Linked DNA regions of Drosophila melanogaster. The protein of the gene in region 1 interacts with the protein of each later gene in a biochemical or structural test. Each region holds a gene or a part of one and is shown in the gene's direction. Other genes may lie near its edges.

Region 1 (3,362 bases):
TCAATTGAAAATCTGACTCTGACTAGTGTGAAAGCAAAAGCATAAGTATTTAATCAAACAAACAGTAATCCAAAAACGAAAATTAGTTCCGCCAGTATTCGTAGCCCATGCCCAAGTCTAAATTCCAAGCCCACATCAGGTAATTTGGTCTACGCACAAACCTCACTAATCCATGCGTCTACCGTTCTAGGACAGCTCTAGAATCAAGACAGCTACCGCAATACTTTTCCAATCTCCTCCGCTCTAGGTTGCCTGTGTTGTGTGGTGGTGTGGCGTGTAAGTTGATTCCGGGCTAAGAAATTTTGTAAACCAAAACCTTTTCCGTAAGTTTGCCCCGGTAAGATTACGATATCCTCGCCTAACCGCCGTGGATCGGATGGATGAGTGAGTTAGTGTAAGGGAGCTTTCCTCTGTTTGGTACACATTGCGAACTGCTCCGATGGCCTGTGGCAATCTACTCCATTCATCCATTATGTCTGTAACCAATTTACCATTTCGATCTTTTCATGTACGTTGAGCTGATTGTTATCGTACTGAAGACGAATCCGCGGCGGAAACTCGCATAGAACAAACAGAAAACTGCGCAAAGGTTTGCTTTTGGTAACTGGTAACGATTGGTTGTGGTTGGTCAGGTCAGGGGTCTTTCGAGCTGGTTAGCCTCCACTTTGGATTGCGGACGGTGACAAAATTCTGGGGGTCTTTTATTTTTGTATTGTATTGTTTGGCAGACAGGATCCATGCAATTGCCTTTTCGTACCGTGCGACATACGGGAAACAAACTATTGTGTAGCAGGGCATTTTTCCTATTACACCATTATTAAGAAAAGCGGACAGAGATCAATGTCACATTTAGATTTGATCAAATAAAGAAAAGAATTCCTCCTTACACGAAAAAGTACTTGTTTCATTTCTAAGTATTTATCAAGATGACTTGAATTTTTTACAATTTTCGCTTGTTAAACTGGTCTATATGTCCTGGATAAGAAGATTTGCAGTGGCGTCCTTGGAATCTCTTTAAAAATGTATACATTTGTTGCAAATAAAGCATTGTGAAATCTATGGACATTAAATGCGACCTCTATTGGAAAACATTCACATATGTCGCAAATTATTATAAGCGGATATGATAGAAAATGTTAAAGTAAAAGGGACTAATTTCAAGGATGAAACATTGAATATCAATAGCAAGCATTTTTCATTCCAACCCGATAAGTACCTATGTACCCAGTTATATTACGAGTAATGGGTATCAGCTGATCGCTACCTTTGCTTCTAAAATGGCATACTGCGTATATCAATAGGCGACATATCGATATAATTGACTGCTATCTCAGCAACATAAAGAAACTGGAATATTCTAACTGTATTTTGCATGCGAATATAAACTTTAGCCGTAATCTTGTCGAATGCTACAAAAAACTACCCAGTAACTTATTATTCTGCCTTTCTTTAATTCGATTCCCTTTGCCATTGAGTACCCGATAGTTAAATATTTGTATGCTGCCCTGCGTACACTGGCCTACAAGCAACTCGAAAAATTCAATTATGTTCGCCGATAGTTAAATAATTTGATGTGGCCCTGCTCACATTGGCTAACAAGTAATGTGAATTAATTATGGGTATAGATATTGCTTGAATTGCAATTCTCATATCACTTTTTTTTTAATTTTCCGTAATATTCATCTTTACGAACCATCCCAATACTTATGCTTCTATTTAAATATTAACATTCATATTTATATTAAACATATATATTGACTCTCTAATATGCTTTAAATGCTATTTAAATCGATTGCGTGCTTAGCATTACATTTTTTAGTCCAATTGTTTGAATATTTTTTCTTTTCGGCATATATCAAAATTACTTGTTAGGAAAAACGTGACCGAAAACCGAAACAGTGACAATAATGGATGGTTGCTGGCGAATCTATCGACTACCTATCGTGTATCGATACACACCGATAGTATCGCAAAAGTTAACGAGGTAGGTCCAGCACCAGTTTTTTTGGCGTGTAGCTGTAGCAGAAGCAAAAGGAAGCCGCTTGTGATAAATTTCAACTTCCATCAGCAAGCACTGAATTTGAGGAAATCAGGTAAATTTTTGCATTTCTACGCGATTAGTTGCTGCCCCGCGGTATTGTGCTTAGTTTTTACGTGTGGTTTACCAATTTCCGCGTACTTAATTGGACATTTTGCCTCGTTTTTTTTCGTACAGCACGCCCGGCATTCGACGCTCCGCAAAAGAAAAAAAAAACTTTTTTGACCACTTAGCAGCTTCAACAAGCAACCAAAAAATCAACATGTCTGACGAAAAGAAGGGAGGTGAGACCGAGCACATCAACCTGAAGGTCCTCGGCCAGGACAACGCCGTCGTCCAGTTCAAGATCAAGAAGCACACACCCTTGAGGAAGCTGATGAACGCCTACTGCGACCGTGCCGGACTCTCCATGCAGGTGGTGCGCTTCCGTTTCGACGGACAGCCCATCAACGAGAACGACACTCCGACCTCGCTGGAGATGGAGGAGGGCGACACCATCGAGGTTTACCAGCAGCAGACTGGTGGCGCTCCATAAGATTACTTAGTTAAGTTAGTTACTCCTCTTACAACTACACACTTAAAACGAAAAAGAAAAAAATACAAGAAAAACCACAAAAGCAAAAACACAACAACAACAACATGAAGAATCCAACAAACCAGGCCCTAAGAATCGATTGAATATGCTTTTAGTACAACTGTAGATTCTAAATGCGTCTGTGTGCGTAAATAACAAAAACATTTGCAGACAAGAAAATGGTAAATAAAGCATTTTATAAACTACACAAAATTTGCCGTCTTTCGCTATTTATTCCTGCGCCTGATCGGCGTTTGTTTTTGCCCTTCTGCAACGAAAAGCCGGTGCGAATTTCCCGCTTTGTGACCCTCTTTCTAAACAGCACGCACACACACTGTCATTGGCATGGCACGTCTGTGTGCGAGCAGGACTGGGTCCAGTGCGCGTGTGTGCGTGCAAATTGATATACATACACATCGGAGAACACTGAATTTGCGGGAAAAGTACAAGCATACATATACGCCTGCGAATTTGCGAAGTCTGGGAAAACATAACCTCAAATTTGAACAAGAAAAAAAAATGACGTCAGTTTTGAGAACCTTCTGGAAATTACATAGAGGTAACTATAACCTCAAAATTGGGATCTAGTAATACGCTTGTGTGTTTGTGAAAGCCAAGCCATACATGATGATTGTGTATGTATACCATGTATACATACATACCATTCATGATGTATGTGCGTATGTGCTTAAATTTTCAAAGGTACAGTTGTGTAAAAAAAAACTATGATGAAAAATTAAAAAGTAGATA
Region 2 (7,888 bases), on another chromosome or scaffold:
ACTGGCGGCCAACTTGGTGGCGGACCAGCTGGACGGATTGGACACGCTCTCATGGCGGAATCCGGCCACCACCGAAATGGCCACGCCCAGTGGTGCCGTCGCCGCCGCTGTGGTGGTGGACACGCACAGCAACTACATGCTGGCCACCGATGAGGCGTATGTGACGTATGTGAATCCCAACGGGGTGGAGATTATGGAGATCATACCCGAGGAGGACGAGACGGTGTCCATGATGCGGTCGAGCAATGCGACCATCGACAATTATGCCATGTCCGCCTCGCAGATGTCGCACAAGTCCCTGTCCAATGGACGTCTCTATCCACTGACGCCCCAGCATCCTTTGGGCACAGGAACGGGAACTGGTACAGGTAGCTCCTCACCCCTACCTCCCGATTATGCCAACCTGGTGAGTAGTGCGCAGGCTTTGTGGAATATGGTGACCGGATGTGAAACCTTTCCGTATGCTCCTCATTTTCAGCGCCGCATCCGGCGGATGTCGCGTGCGGTAACCACGCACCTGTGGTGGAATCTGCTGGACAAGATCGCCATGCCGCTGCAGCAGGCGCTGCTGGTGCCGCAGCTGTACGCCACCACGCTGCTCCTCTCGGCGGACATCTTTAGCTACGTGATGTGCCTGACGGTGCTACCCGGACTGGCGGTCAGCCACCATGCGCTGAAGAACGCCGAGATCCCGTTCCTCTTCTCGCTGCTGGCCTTCCCATGGATGTGCTTCTCCCTGATGACTCCGCGCTTCGGCACGAGCCTCTATAAGCGGAAGCTCCAGTGGCACACGCTGGGCAGCATCTGCAAGTGCCTGGCGCTGATCTGTGAGTCATGATACCCGTTTCAAGCTTTCCCCGGGCCATCAATAGATCCATCTTTTGTTTCGCTTCCAGTCATCAGCTTCTCCACCTCCAAGCTGCTGCTCAGTGTGTCCGCCGTGCTGCTGGGATTTGGCCAGGTGGTGACCGCCTTTCTGCAGGAGCTGGTCTTCCAGATGGGCATGACGCGGGCCAACTGGACGGCCATCCGCCGTCCGGTGCACTTCACCAACGGCCTGCTGGTTCTCCTCTGGGGCGCGCTGGCCCACTGGGTGGTGGAGCGGTACTCCTTCCAGGCCACCGTGGGACTGGCCGGCGCCCTTTACGGAACTACCACGCTGCTCTGGAACTTCCTCTTCTTCTGCTGCCAGAGCAAGGATTGAGGGACTGAAGAATTCGCGCACTCTCACACAACAAGGCATCGTGTATGTGTGTGTGTGTGTGTGCTGCTGTGGCTGACGTTGTTGTTGTATTTGTGCAGTGATATTAATAAATAAATATATAAACTATAAGCAAGCTACATACATTTTAACATAAGTCTTAAAAGTCTTATTACGTCAATTTGAAAAAAGAATGGAATGCTGGCCTTTAAAATATCCCTAAAGAACTGCTACAGAAGTAGCTATAGCCTTTTAGCTATTTTTCCATTAAGCTGTGCTGACTACTGTACTTTGGAAATGTGGACAGTTTTTTTCCGATTAAAATAAGTTTAAAAGTATAAAATGTTGCGTTCATTCTAGAGATTGGTTCAATTTTTTAGAAATCTGTCGCACACTAAAAAAAATGCATGTTCTTACAAAATTCGCTGTGTAAGAAATATTGAAAATATTGAAATATTATTGGAAAATATTGACGAAAAATTTCCCTTTTCACCGAATTTGTCGTATTTTTACAGTAAGACTAAATGCCGTTATTTCCTCAGATATTTCTAGGTAATTACATTCGCTGCGTGACGAAAGCTGCCTGCTATGATGCGGCAGCCAGACCCAACACTGTTGGCCGATATCGATTGGTTTGGTATTATAGAGCAATATCTTGTACGGTCATACTAAGGCACCAGTACGCCAAAACCGAAATTTTCTTTCTTTACTCAATTTTCATCGAGCTAAGTTGCGAAAATTTTCTCAAGTCACAGTGAAAAGTGTACATTGTTTAAAACCTGGCCAAGGGGTAAGTGTTTGTTGCAAGGCGCTTGTGGTGTGGCACTCAGTGCGGTGCAATAGCAGCGTCGGCATTTTCCGGCGGCCGCAGAAGTGGCACCAAGCAAAGACGGCGAAAAACAGCGAAAAATGCGCAAAATCGGGCTTCCTTTTTGCCGGCTCGTTTTCCTTTTTTGCTTATTCTTCTTCTTGCGATTCTTGAAAGCGAATGCGTGTGGAAAAATAATTTCTGATTAAATTTCAATTTGCAGCTAAAAGTAGCGAAAGCGGTAGCGAACACACGCATGTCGCTGCCTCCCGAGGACACCGATTTGTCCACAAATTCCGCATACGAATCCGCACTCCAAATCGCGAGCAATGTGTCGGCAGCACGAGTAGTCGGTTCGGCAGTAGGACAGCGATTTTCGCCGTCGCCAGCAGCTCACCCGAACGTGATTGAGCGCGTCGCGTCTCATGTGGACTCACGCCGCAGCACGTTTCCAAGTTGGGGTAATCCGTCAGTAGCGCCAAGAGGATCGGAAGAAGCAGCAGCCAACGCCACAGCAACACAACTCCTATGGGCGGAGAACCAAGGTCTCCCGACATCGCACTTATTGCCAACTGAACAGGCATTCGAGACATTGAACACTAATGCGTATTGTTCCCCGCCAGGGGATTCACGATTTACGTTCCCTAGCCAGAACTACTCGCCGCTGCTGCCGCGGTGTGTCCCAGTTCCGAATCAGCGTTACTCTCCAGATGGATCGCCAATACATCAACTCCATGAGCTGCAAAATTGTCCATTGATAGATTCGCCGATAAGACTGCGATTTCCATCCCCCTTGCCAGAACCACCATCACTACCGACCATCACCCTTACAGTTGATGCCCTGATCGATCTTGACCAAAACAACCAGGTCGCATATTATGTCCAGCAGTACAACAATCAGCCAGTCCTATATCAACAAAACATTCATATAGGAACGGGAATCCAACTATGCGATCAGGCCTCCGAGAATAATCAACCGATTATATTACATATCGTGGAGCACAATCCCCAGACTATAACTGAGAGCCAGGAGCAATTCCACCAGGTTGTCCCCGAAATTCAAATCAATAATATCCAGGAGCAAGATCAGAAATTTGAAAATGGCATCTCGGAACAAAATCATCCGATTGCAACTGAGGCTCAGGATCAGACTTTAACTGAGATCCGGGATGAAAACCAGATTGTCCTTGCAGTCCAAGAAAAAAATCTCACGCGTGCCTCTGAGATTCAGGACCAGAACCAACAGACATTAACCGAGATCCCAGAGAAATGTCTTCAGATTGCATCTCCTGTCACTACTGATATACAGGTACAAAGTCCTCAGGTTGTAATAGAGATCCAGGAGCAAAATCACCAGTCTGTAACGGAGATCCAGGAGGAAGTTCACCAGACTGCCCCCGAAATCCAAGTGAACGTTTTCCAGACCTCGTCTGATATTCAAGGGCAAAATCACCAGATTGTAACTGAAGAGCAAAATCATCAGACTATAACCGAGACCCAGGAGGATTACTCGGCTGTCTCCGAAATCCAATGGGAAAATCTCTCGTTTTCTGCTGAGATTCAGGAGCAAAACCAGCAGATCGTAACCGAAGTTACGAAGCTTGCATCTCCTTCTGTTACTGATATACAGGCACAAAGTCCTCAGTCCGTAATCGAGATCCAGGATGACGATGATGAAGATCTAAAGTTCGAATCTGATGATCTGCACACTATACCTGAAATCCAGGAGAAAAACCAACAAAGTCCTCAGTTCGTAATCGAGATCCATTATGATAATGAAGATCTAAAGTTCGCATCTGATAATCAGGAGCAAGATCAACAAACAGCCGAGCTCCAAAAGGAAAGGTTCCAGTTCGCATCTGAAATCGAGAAGCGAGATCTGCAGATTGTTACTGACACTCACAAACAAAATTATCACAATGTAACCGACATCCCGTTCGCAACATACATCCAGGAGGAAAACGAGCAGTTAACACCGGAAGACCAAGAGGAAGATCAACATTACCTGAATTTTGAGGGGAACCAACAATTCCAGCTCCAGAAGCAAGATCAGCTGAGTGTACCACAGATCCAGAAGCAAACCCACCAGTTCGAATCTAAGGTCAAAAAGAGAAAGTTGCAGCCCTTTTCTGAATACCAGCAGAAAGGTCAGAAAGATCATATCCAAGAGAGGCAGTATATTCAGCAGGAATTCACCATCCACTCTAACCAGGCTTATTCTAAGGTCCAGTATATACAAACTATACAAACTGCGACTCCGTACGTACCTCAATTGGAAATATCCCAGGAAAACAGTTTTGAGGTTCAACCAGCATACGAGGTAAACGAAGGCCAACGGGACAGAGAACTGGTTAGTTACACAGGCCACGAGCATCAGAACTTTGTTGATGAGGTCTCGACACCATTACCGCCCGCTGAAGCTCAACCAGGATCTACTTCAGAAGATATATCAGACCCCGTTTCACCTGAACATTGGGAGCAGCTAGAGTCACTCGATCCGAGCACTATTTGTATTCGCAAAACCTTCAATCTAATTCGCGATATCTCTGAAAGTCTGGTGGCCGATCCAGAGCAACCCGAAGCCGAAGCCCACCGGAAGTCAATTTTCCTTCTCCGCCAGAAGCTAGCCGATGTGTGCCATAAGGTTCTAACCGAAATTATACACGGCCGGGCCACCGATGAGATCATCTCCATTCTGAGAGAGATTCTCGAGCAAACTAAGGAAATACCTCCACGCCCCACGCCGAAAAGAGACCTCCAAGAAGACATTTCGATGGGCTTAGAAATATTAAAAAAGATCCGTGGTATGCTATCCGGTTGGTATTCTTCCAGAGAAAGCGAAACGGACTCCACGGATACCGGAACGGGATTCCAGGCTCAAAACGGAAAAGGTTTTGGTGCCGGCCGCCAGCCGGAAAATAGTTTTTTATCCCAGAAAAGACGGTAAGCATTAAGAATTTTATGTTATTTTTAATTTTGTTTACCTAAATCCAACTAGGTAAGCCTGCGCAACAATTTTATGTCATTCATTGCTACTCCCATGTAAAAATTTCAATTAATGTTTTTTCTCTACTTTCAGCAACCAAGAAGAGAACCCTCGTCTGATCAAGTACCGGCGTGTGGACAACAGCTTTCCCCGCTTGATAACGAATGAGACGGCCGAGGACCTGATTCCCAACAATTCGATGGCCAAGCGGGATCAGCCCCAGAGCTCAAAGCGGCTCTCAATATTTAATCCGCCGGTATACACGCAGCACCGAGTGCGCAATGATGCCCCCCACGTACCTACGCCATTTGACGATGAGGAGTCGTCACAGAGACTTGCTAACGCGGGCCCATCATCCAGGCCCATGACTTACTCGGATGCGGTGCGTCTAGGCCATAATGGCATCTCCGAGTCGCGCGTAAATGGGCACTCCAGCCATACGGTGCGCAGAGAACCGTCTCGGCTGCACAGAAGCATTCTGTCCCACGAGATGAACTGCAAGGATCAAGAGCAGTATAACGAACTTATCCGTACCCAAACAAATTACGTGGGCAGTCGCTACCTCAAGCCGGGTACCCCGCCAACGTTTCAGCGGGCTAAAGCCCAGTCGGCAACCAGTAGCAGCTGCTCACTGCAAGACAACCAATCGAATATAACAGATTCGTTCCCGTCGCCACATGGCCGTGCGAACCCTGAGCTAACGGAGTACGCCAAATTGATCAACCGCCAGGAGAATGAGGAGAACAGGTCTCCGGCACCACAGCAGCCAAAGCGAAACGCTAGCAATAGCTCTGCCAGCCATGCGTCCACTATTTCCAGCAGCGCATCTTCCTCCTGCAGCACTTGTTCAACTTGCTCATCTTCTGACACTGAGCCAATGTTGGTTAAAGATAGCCCGGAGGTCAAGGAAGCCAACGAAGCCAACGAGGCCAACGAAGCCAACGAAGCCAACGAAACCAAGGAAAAGTAAATAAATGCTTTATATCCAAACGTAAATAATTTGCAATAATCAAAAATCCTGATTTTATCACCAATTAGTGACGCACCTCAACCTACAACTACCAGAATCAAGAAACCAGACTTCTTGCACCGTCGCTTTGCCAACTGTATCTTTCTAAGGAATGACTTTGCGGAAAATTTCAAAGCAAGAGCGAATCGCCGGCAACTTGAATCCATGCATCTTCTTGGAATAGCTGAACAGCAGTAAGTATTTGTAACGCTATAATTAGGCCCAGTACCAAGAGGCTTTTTTCCAATTTTAGGGCTAATGAAAGCAAAGATGAACGCCTTGCCTATGAAAAAAAGCTGCGGGAAGTCATGTTCCGGTCTGGTGCTCCCCACCGGCCCTTTTTTGAAATCGGGCCCCTGGAACAGCCGGAAGAGAAGAAAGAGACCAAGCTCATTCCGCTAACAAAGGAGGACCACGCTCGCTTTCAAGAAATGACAACTATTGAGGTTACGACGGTAAACGAATATATTTATTTATTTATATGTGTACCCATTTAAAACGTTTATATGCTTGCGCTTTAAAATCTTATTTCAGAACTTAATTTTCAAATATAACCTACAAATAACTACCGACGACATATTCACGTTTGTTGATGGCGAATGGCTTAACGACGCGATCATCAACTTTTACATGTCCATGCTGACGGAACGCTCGGAGAAGCGAGCTGGCGAACTTCCCGCCACTTACGCCATGAACACATTCTTCATGCCCCGTCTCCTGCAAGCTGGGTATGCAGGCGTTAGGCGCTGGACTCGCAAAGTGGACTTGTTCAGCAAGGACATAATACCGGTGCCAGTGCACTGCGGCAACGTCCACTGGTGCATGGCCATCATACACTTGCGTAACAAGACAATCTTCTATTACGACTCAATGGGAAGACCAAACCAACCGGCGCTTGATGCTCTAGTTAAATATCTGCACGAAGAGTCACTAGACAAGCGCAAACAGCCGTTTGATATGACCGGTTTCGTTGTCGAGAACGCGCAGAATATACCACGTCAAGGGAATAGCAGCGATTGCGGTGTCTTCAGCTGCATGTTCGCCGAGTATATAACGCGTGATGTTCCGATTACCTTCTCCCAGGCGGAAATGTTGTACTTCCGCACGAAGATGGCCCTGGAAATCGCCGACGGAAAGTTGTGGCAGTAGGGGTTCAAGCACAAAACTACGCAAAAATGGAGAATTCAGTTCTTTACTTATTTTTACAAATCTTACGTAAACACTCCAAGCATGAATTCGCGACAAGTACTTAGCCATCGAACGAACTCGTTTATTCGATAGAATCGAGATGGCTGAGACCCCTGCTGGTGCATTAACTTGTTCTCATATCTGATTGTAAAAGAGAATCTATTTCTTCAATAAAATGTCACCAAGTAAAAGCGATGCGAATAAGGATGTATTAATCGCCGAATATCTTCAAGTTTATAATTAATATTTAGAATACAGCAAGCTATGAATATGTACTAATGTAATGTAATGTACTGCTCTAATCCTAACTCTAAACTAGGAATTACTGGATTTCATATTTTTTTCTTACATTGTCTTTTCTGTTTCATATCGTTAAGTTGAAAAGATCAGAGCCGCTGATAATTGAAAATCATACTAATACTCCAGTTTATTTTTGAATTTATCGGTTTTTTTTTTTTTAAAGAAAATGTCGCTATATTCCTATAAATTAGATAATATTAATAAGGAATCAATCTTAATTTAGTATTTTTGAAAATGTAGCTTATTCAAGCAAATACTTATTATACAAATATAGGTAAATGTGGGTTAATGGTATTAGTTTTGTTTTTGTAAAGATTTTCTCTAACCCTTAGGAAGTAGTACACCTTTCATAACCTAAGGTACATAATGTAATATAATTTATTTTTGCAGAGCGAA
Region 3 (4,949 bases), about 10 Mb from region 1:
GTATACACGGGGTGCAAATGTACATATGTGTATGTACATGAAAATGACTGCCCCAGCACGTGTCAGCTTATAAGGGGGCAGGATCCATTAAAAATTACCTCGCGGGACTGGACGAATATCGCGTGATTTTCGTGGAAAACCCGCTGCAATTGGTTGCCGGCCTTGTGGGAGTGGGAGCTTCTCCATTCACCATTGTTTGATCGATGTCTGGACTCCATTAACCGGGTTGTTGTTCTACGTTCGTGCCATCAAGACATTGCGAGTTGACTTAGTCCCGCAATTCCCCCACTCCAATTCCACGGGCGGCGATGGCAATTGATGTGGAATTTCAATACTAACATTTGACATAATTCCTATTTATTTGCGCTTAGCTCACGTGCACTTATGTATGTATGTATGTTTACCAGGTGGCATGACCTTCGTGCCAGTGTGGTTTTGATAACGATTTACGATAATGGCGGAAAGTCCTTTTTTATGCATATGTACGTAGTATTGGGAAGAACTTAAGCATGTGGATTTTGTGTCACCGACCATCCAACTTTAATTAATATTATTTTTATTCTTATTTACTTATAAATTTTTCACAGTAATAAAATAGGAACATTTAGTACTTATTTGTAATTTTGTCATGAAATTATAAAAATACTACCTGGTTCTTTCGCATGTATTTCAAACTGATAATATTTCGTTTTCCAAATAATGTGACAATTATATTTTCTATTCATCGTTCATATTTAATAATTTGGTTTAATTAGCTGAAAAACCCAAAACATAAAAATCCTTATCTAACGTGCGACCACTTTTTAAGCGATGTATTCAATTATCAACTGTACTGACCCCCATTTCCCCAGAAGGTGAATCAGCAATATTATCAAATTCCGCGTAACAAGCCGTCTTGAATGTCAGAGGTCCTCCGCCCGGAAAGTGAAAGCTGCTCCGGAATGCTGAGCACGAAGCAAGTGAGTCACGGCATTGAGACTCTGCCGCAGTGGAAATTAATGCCACAACAAATGCCGGCGCAGGATATTATCCTTTTTCCAGGAATCGTACGCTGATTCAGACCCCCCAACCGCATGGGTGGGAGTGGGGTCTTAAATGGATAGCTCGCAGCCACACACACAGATAGTTAGTGCTCACCGTGCTGTTTCATTCATAAAAGCTGAAAAAGCTTTTCGGAGGCAGTCGCTCGTGGAGATGAGTCACATGTGAAAGACACTGAGATAAATGACGGAAGTTATTTTTTCCATTTATATTTTACTTTTCGTAAATATGCATATATAGTTGGAATATTCGGCTATTTAAACGAATCTCACATTGAAAATCGAATTCTTGATGATTGGTTACCATACAGTTGAATTCTCAATATTTAAGAAAAACAAAATATTTATATTTTCCGATTCCTTTGGGATGCTCCTAATAAAAAGATATGCATTTTCAATTAATTAGGTATTCCTTCAATATAATACGTGTTATAGATTTAAAAGGTGACACATTTTAAAAGCTTTTGAAAGAAACAACTGGCCTGCATTCCTACTAATCGGTATCAGTCAGATAAAAACATTTATATTATATGTATGTATATATTGTTTCGCCTTTATGCAATCATCGCGTATTCCTCGAAACTCGGATTTGTGGAAGATGTGGACATCTGTAAGCTATAAGTCGCAAGTGGAAAACTTCAATCGTACGTGACTCAGCACATGCTGATCTCGCACTCTTCGCCAAGCTAGGCTCTTCGGATTGTCTCTCTTCTGAGCTTAAGTCGAGACTGCAAAGAGCAGAGCTTGGGGCCGACTACTTAACTCCGTTGAAAGCTTCGCGATCTGCAAGTTTTGCGGTATTTTTCAGTGGCGCATACGGTATTGAAAGTTTGGCTCGCCTGTTTCTTCTTGGTGGGCAGTTAGTGTTCAAATCGCGGGCGTCGAGATCGGTTGGTAGTGCGTGTGTTACGGGTATTTTATCTCCACCTCCAAATTGTGCCTTATTTACCTTTTTCGCTGTGCTTTAAGCTTCCGCTCTCTTTCGCTCTTCTGGAGCTCGAAGGCAGGTTGAAATACCAGTAGATAAAAATAAAACGAAAAGTAAAAGAGCTGCATAAAAACGCATAAATTCAATTGAGCTCTAAGCAAGTTTCACTTGCTTTTTCGTATTACGAGTGACAAAAAAAAGAGACCCACCAATATAACGGAGGAAAAAACAAAAATAAAAAACTCGGCGCACGTATTGATAATTTCTATTAAAACTGAACGTTTACCGATTAGATTACACGGCACATCGACACTTTAACCACAAACATCGCAAGAATAACCAAAGAAAATGGAGGGCAGAGCGCGATAACAAATTACCCTAAATTATAAATCGAATAAATCGAAAAACAAAAACAAAAGGTAGTCGTACGTCGATGATCGCATAAGCATAAAGCCCGGAATTCCCTAGAAAAAATCGACGTCACGCGCTCTCTCGCGCTCTTTGCCCACTCTCTCTTTCTTCGGACTTCGATTTCTTAACTTTTCATTAGTTTCTGTTCGAACTGTTCTCCCCCATCCGTTGTTTTTGTCGTTATTATCGATATTATCGCACCCGCTTTGTGCGCGCGCAAAAGTTAAAAAAGAATAAAATAAGAAGAATCAGAAAGAGAGAGAGAGAGAGAGTGAGTGAGAAAGGGAGGGAAGAATAAATTATTTATATATAAAAAATAATAAATAAACCGGTTCCTGCCGTGCGTGCTTGTGTATGTGTTAACATTAACATGAAAAAAGCGCCATATTTCTCAACTATAAATAAATGGCTTATTTAGCTCGCTGTGCAACGGACTAATTTTCCAATTAACACAATAAGAAACTTAACAAATAATGTACATAAAAGTGTACTAATTGGTTCGCGTTGAATTTCAGGTGTCCGATTTACTTAGCAAACCCAGTGATATCAATGCATATAAGCGAGATTTCAGATCACTCCTTGACTTAGGTGAGTCCCCCTATAGAGCCTAGCTTAATTTATTGATTCTGAACATTGATTGCACGGATTAATAAAGTGCGGTGGAAAATCCTAATGGCTGCGTTTTGCGAGAAGGGTCTTGATATTTTAATAAATATGTACACAACTATTGCTTCCAAAGACGCAAAATGTCATTACAAAGAAACGCATCTTGCATTAAACATATTAAAAATATAACCTTATTGAGTCATTGGACGCCTTATCGTTTCGGAACAATGTTTACAGCAACAACATCGTGATTTATCAACCATTATTCACACTTTTAAGGTTTGATAAACCAAGACTGGTCACTTTTCTCGCATATTAATATTTTTCATCCTAAATAGTTTTAACATTTTGACAATGTTTAAAATTCCTGGATGCTAAGATTTGTAATAGCTCACAATTTCTGCATGACAAATAATAGTTAAGATGTTAAAAAAAAACTATTAGAACGTATTCAATCCTTTGTAGTGTAACCGCAGTTGTTGTTGTTGTGTTTTTTGGGTGGCAATTATCCACCTGCGTATTAAATAATCTACGGTGAATGCAAACGATAAACTTAAATAATACAACCGAAACACCTGTGTACATGGCAGCGCAGTCGCAGTGGCTTTTCGACGTCGCCATAAATGAAAGTTTCTTACGGGCACGTGGGTGGGCGAGGGGGGCCGTGGGGCCCAGAGGGGGTGGGGCTCGTGGAAAAGCTTTTGCCCCTTGTATTTATTTATTTTTTGCTGCCACTCAAATACGCCGGAGAGGTTTTCAATTGTTTCATTCTAAGATCGACTCGATGCGCCTGCGGTCGTGTTTGCGCTAACATTCTTTTATTTTTATTAAATATTTTTAAAATTCCCTAACGGTTCGATATTATTTTTAAGTAATAATTTGAAAAGTACCATTTTGAAAGAACAAACTGCGGTTAGTGTGCGTTTTGTGGCCCAAATAAAAGCAAAAAGTGAAACCGAATTCGTCATGAGTGTTCACTGGTTCTTGGTTTGATTCGCAGGTAATTATGAAGAATGAAGAAATGCTTTTAGCTGCTAATACGGTGTAAACTCGAAAAGTGCAACCAAGTTAAATGCAAACCGTGTGCTGACTCATAACATCAGACTCTCGTCTCCGGGACCAAAGAAAATCAAAGCGCTAAAATCGCTCAACTCGTTTCCAGCAAGTCATCGGCGATTTACAAAGCTCGAGTAGAGATTTGTGTGCTAACAGAGATCTAAGGCCAAGTCAATAGATAATATTGGTTATATCTACTGGTAGTTTCCCCGTATGCTAAATCCGAGTCATGATTGATACACGATCTGGCTGTGGGTAAGGCCCTCCGCTATGCAAATCATCAATCAATAGGGATTCTATTTTAGGCGAATATCATTTAAACCACTCGATAAGAAAGATCGTGGCCGTTATAATTGGAGATACGGATAAGATATGTATCTGCATTTTTGCCGGAAGTCACATGTGCACAATAATCCCTGATCGGCTAATTTAACAAACATTGTTTGGTGTGGAAAATAAGGATAATGGACTTGTATTCATACGATACAAAACATAGCTTTTGGCAACTAGTTCCATCGATTTGTCAGCATATCGGTTATTTATTTTTATTTGAGCTGTAAATTGCTTGACGCCAACGATCGTTAAAAAACATTTGTCTGTCTGGAGTTCTTGTTTTTTTTTTTTTTGCGGAACCCGTTTCACTGAGGAATTTTTGGCTGCTTCTGATGCTTTGATGTTGATCTTAATCTTAATTTGTGGTGCTGGCGCCAAAAGAACTTTTTTCTGTGTGTCTTTGCTATTGGAAATTGCATAAAATTAGCATGTTAAATGATCGAAACGAAATGTTCATTTTATTTTGTTTACTTACCTTTTTTTTTTATTTTTCGCCAAAAGTAGTTATCGTTGAACGAGTAGAACGTTATTTTATTAATTCATTTTATGGCTTAACAGCATAGACTTTTTTCTTT
Region 4 (3,542 bases), on another chromosome or scaffold:
GTTTGGATATGGCACAACTACTTTTCGTTTGGCTTATCCTTGGGATCTTTACTATCGACACTTTCAGCCGCACTTTCCTCGGTCTTCTTCGACCTTTTCTGCGCCTTTTCAGCCTGCTTTTGCTTTTCGGCCTCAGCCAGAGCAGCCTCCTGCTCCTGTTTTAGTTTTTCCTTCTGCGCTGCAGCCTCAGCCACTTCCTCATCGTCCCAGTCGGCCATCGAGCGGTCGCGCTTTAGCCACGAATGCGTGGTGTCCGGCTTGAAGGCTGCATGGGAATATAAGGGATTGAGAAAATGTACAGCCACTGGCGCTGGAGAAACTCACTCTGGTTGAACCATTTGATGCCGTTCTGCATGTCCTCGATGATTTCACGGGACGTGAACATCACCTCATTCTGCACCGCCTGGTGGAACGTTGAGGTCTCGAACGTGCTCGAGTAGACCGAGTTGCGATCGTGGATGAGCGCGCGTTGCGGGAACTTGGCCAGACAGGTGGCCAGCTCCAGGGCATTGCCCAAGGCCGTGCCTGTGGGCACAATCCTGTTGACCAGTCCAATGTCGTGGGCCTCCTGGGAGCCCACCGGACGTCCCGTAAGTATCAGGTCCAGGGCACGCGACAATCCAATCATAGCCGGCAGCCGGATGGTGCCGGCATCGAGCATTGGCACTCCAAAGCGTCGATTGAAAAATCCCAGTACTGCGGACTCCTCCATCACGCGCAGATCGCACATGAGAGCCAGCTCCAGACCGTTGGCTATGCAGTAGCCATTGATGCCGCACACGACCGGCTTCTTGATCTGGCGACGCGTGGGACCCACGGAGCCCTCCGGTCGCATCAGGATGTCCACGCTGATCTCCTCCTTCTCGTCGGTGCTAATCTCCAGGATGTCGAAGCCGGAGCAAAAGGAGCCGCCCACGCCGTACAGCACGGCCACCGGCGACGTGTCGTCCGCCTCGAAATTGGCGAAGGCGTCGCAAAGCTGCGATGCAGTAAGCGAATCGATGGCATTACGCTGCTGCGGTCGATTGATGCCGATCAGCGTGATGTTCTTATCCTTTTCCACAAGGATGTTCTTCGGTGGCGCCGCCTCTGCTTCCTGGGTCGCTGGATCTGTAGCGATTGAACGGTTACAACAGTATAAGTCCAAATTATGTCACCGGCTTTTTCGCCGACTTACATACCTTTGTGCAGCGCTTTTGTCGAGGAAAATGTGCGACTCGCGGCGGTGAAACGTGCTTGCTGACCCACCTGCTGGGCCAACAGACCTCCAAATTTGCGAAGCATGATCTAAGCCAAAATGGCAATCAATTATTCTTCACAATGGAGAGCAACAAGCTTAAAGACTTACCGGAAAATTAAATATTGGTCAGATTTCGTAAAAACAATTCGATAGTAATTGTCTTACAGAGCTGCCACCGTTTTGTGGCAATCCTATTGTGTTAGCTTTTTCCCGCTAAACTTGGCTATTTTAAAGCTTGGTTTGCTTGGCGGTAAGTTACAAAATAAATTCACCTCAATTTGTTGTTAGGATGTTATAAAAACTATAGAATAGTATATAGTATAGTATAGTACAGTATAGAAAATTATAAATATTATAATTATAAGTGCTAGATTTTAAGTGCTTTATTTAGTTTTATTCTGTACGTACAAAAACAGTTGGCAGCACTGATTCTGCAAAAGGCGTTTTGGCATTTTCAAAAGGCGTTAGTTTCTTGTTGCGGCGTCTCACTGAAAGTTGTTGCAAGAAATTTGTATTAAGTTGTGAAAAATACATTTTAAACTTGATAAATAAATAATGGTCGTGGATATGGACACCAGCGAGACAGCCGTGGAGCTCACTGAGGCGGAGAACGAGCTGTACGACAGACAAATCCGACTCTGGGGTCTGGAATCTCAGAAACGGTGAGTGCAAAAAAACCGGCATTCCGCAATGGCGCTATAATGCGCTAAAATATATTTTCGATTTAAGCCTTCGCACGGCCAAGATTCTCATCGCTGGACTGTGCGGCCTGGGCGCCGAGATAACCAAGAACATCATCCTGTCCGGAGTGAACTCCGTGAAGCTGCTGGATGACAAGGACGTAACCGAGGAGGACTTTTGTTCACAATTCCTTGTCCCCCGTGAATCGCTGAACACCAACCGGGCCGAAGCATCATTGACACGGGCACGTGCTCTCAATCCCATGGTGGACATCTCCGCCGACCGCGAGCCCTTGAAGGAGAAGACCTCTGAGTTCTTCGGTCAGTTCGACGTTGTGGTGGTCAATGGCGCGACCAACGAGGAACTGTTGCGCATTGACACCATTTGCCGGGACCTGGGCGTCAAGTTCATAGCCACCGATGTGTGGGGCACCTTCGGGTTCTACTTTGCCAGTCTGCAGAAGCACAGCTACGTCGAGTAGGTTCCCTACCTACCATTGCCCATTGCTAACTTAATGTCCACCTTTTTTCCAGGGATGTTATTAAGCACAAGGTCGTAGCCAATTCGGAGAAGAAAAAGAAGTATGAAACCGTGTCCATTCCAACGCAGCGTGATGTGGATTATCCCGGCTACTCTGCCTGGCTTGATTTCGATGTTACCGAGCCTAGTTATTTGCGAAAATTGAAGCGCAATGGCCCGGGTGTTTTGCTATTAAGTGTCCTGCAAAAGTTCCGCACAACCCACAAGCGGGATCCCAGCTACAAGACCCGAGAAGCTGACCTGGAATTGCTTCGCGGAATTCGCGACGAACTGCTGCCCAACTCTATACTGGGCGACGAAGCTCTAGGTCTGATTTTTGCACAGATCTCGCCAGCGGTCGCTGTTGTCGGCGGCGTTGTGGCACAAGAGGTCATCAAGGTGGTTACTAAATTGGAGGCGCCACACCGTAATCTGTTCGTTTTTGACCCAGAGACTTGTGCCGGATACGTTGAGGCCATCGGAGCGAAGTGAATTTACCACAAAGGGCTTATTTATAAAAATCTGAATATCAAATAACACCAGTTGTAAAATTTTATTGGTTTTTTAATGTCCCGTACTTATTAAGAAAGCTTAGCTTGTGGTAATCTTAGCGGGGCGTTTAAGTTTAGGGGATGCTGGCCAAGTAGTCCTTGATTGAGGCGGGGTCCAGACGCTGGAATCCGTTCTGATCGCAGATTCCGATCTCAATGTTGTCGGCAGTCATTTTTCCCTCAAAACCTTCTTTCAGCGTAAGGATGGCGGTGTGAACAGCGTCGTCCAGCTCCAGATCTTCGCTGTAGCTGCAGGTTGATGAAAATATGAGTGACTTGCGACTTTAATTGGTGTACTATTATTGGTACTTACCGCTTCTCCAGGAAAGTTTTGCCGTTCACTGCGTTCTTGCCCATGGCAGTGGCCTTCCAGGCGAAGTAGGCGCCCGAAGGATCGGATTGGTAGAGATACGGACGATCATTGTCCCAGCCGCAGATCAGTAGGGAAACGCCAAAGGGACGAACGCCACTGTTGGTGGGATTGCATACGATTATCTATGGGAACCCAAAGTCGAGAAAAGCGCGCACACTTACCCGGACTGAGTGTACTC

What was found.
Region 2: of the proteins of Sumo (region 1) and Ulp1, one has a biochemical effect on the other in vitro, tested with the Drosophila melanogaster proteins (one study listed by BioGRID).
Region 3: of the proteins of Sumo (region 1) and dl, one has a biochemical effect on the other in vitro, tested with the Drosophila melanogaster proteins (one study listed by BioGRID).
Region 4: of the proteins of Sumo (region 1) and Aos1, one has a biochemical effect on the other in vitro, tested with the Drosophila melanogaster proteins (one study listed by BioGRID).

Annotation. Positions count from the first base shown.
Region 1 is NT_033779.5:6,966,239-6,969,600, reverse strand, and holds Sumo (small ubiquitin like modifier), read left to right. Parts: upstream 1-1,956; 5' UTR 1,957-2,093; intron 2,094-2,215; 5' UTR 2,216-2,300; coding exon 2,301-2,573; 3' UTR 2,574-2,821; downstream 2,822-3,362.
Region 2 is NC_004354.4:19,202,137-19,210,024, reverse strand, and holds the start of Ulp1 (Ulp1), read left to right. Parts: upstream 1-1,837; 5' UTR 1,838-1,991; intron 1,992-2,232; 5' UTR 2,233-2,265; coding exon 2,266-4,952; intron 4,953-5,088; coding exon 5,089-5,961; intron 5,962-6,033; coding exon 6,034-6,198; intron 6,199-6,257; coding exon 6,258-6,459; intron 6,460-6,538; coding exon 6,539-7,153; 3' UTR 7,154-7,888. Other genes in the region: CG14195 (uncharacterized protein), read left to right, coding at 1-406, 479-827, 897-1,204.
Region 3 is NT_033779.5:17,447,314-17,452,262, reverse strand, and holds the start of dl (dorsal), read left to right. Parts: upstream 1-1,898; 5' UTR 1,899-2,387; intron 2,388-2,894; 5' UTR 2,895-2,967; intron 2,968-3,752; exon of another isoform or gene 3,753-3,985; intron 3,986-4,949. UniProt on the Drosophila melanogaster protein: Embryonic developmental transcription factor. The lateral or ventral identity of a cell depends upon the concentration of this protein in its nucleus during the blastoderm stage.
Region 4 is NT_033777.3:12,431,985-12,435,526, reverse strand, and holds Aos1 (activator of SUMO 1), read left to right. Parts: upstream 1-1,704; 5' UTR 1,705-1,795; coding exon 1,796-1,902; intron 1,903-1,969; coding exon 1,970-2,398; intron 2,399-2,454; coding exon 2,455-2,932; 3' UTR 2,933-2,994; downstream 2,995-3,542. Other genes in the region: Srlp (Spliceosome-ribosome linker protein), read right to left, coding at 18-265, 325-1,110, 1,182-1,284; Prosalpha2 (proteasome alpha2 subunit), read right to left, coding at 3,066-3,240, 3,305-3,460, 3,526-3,542.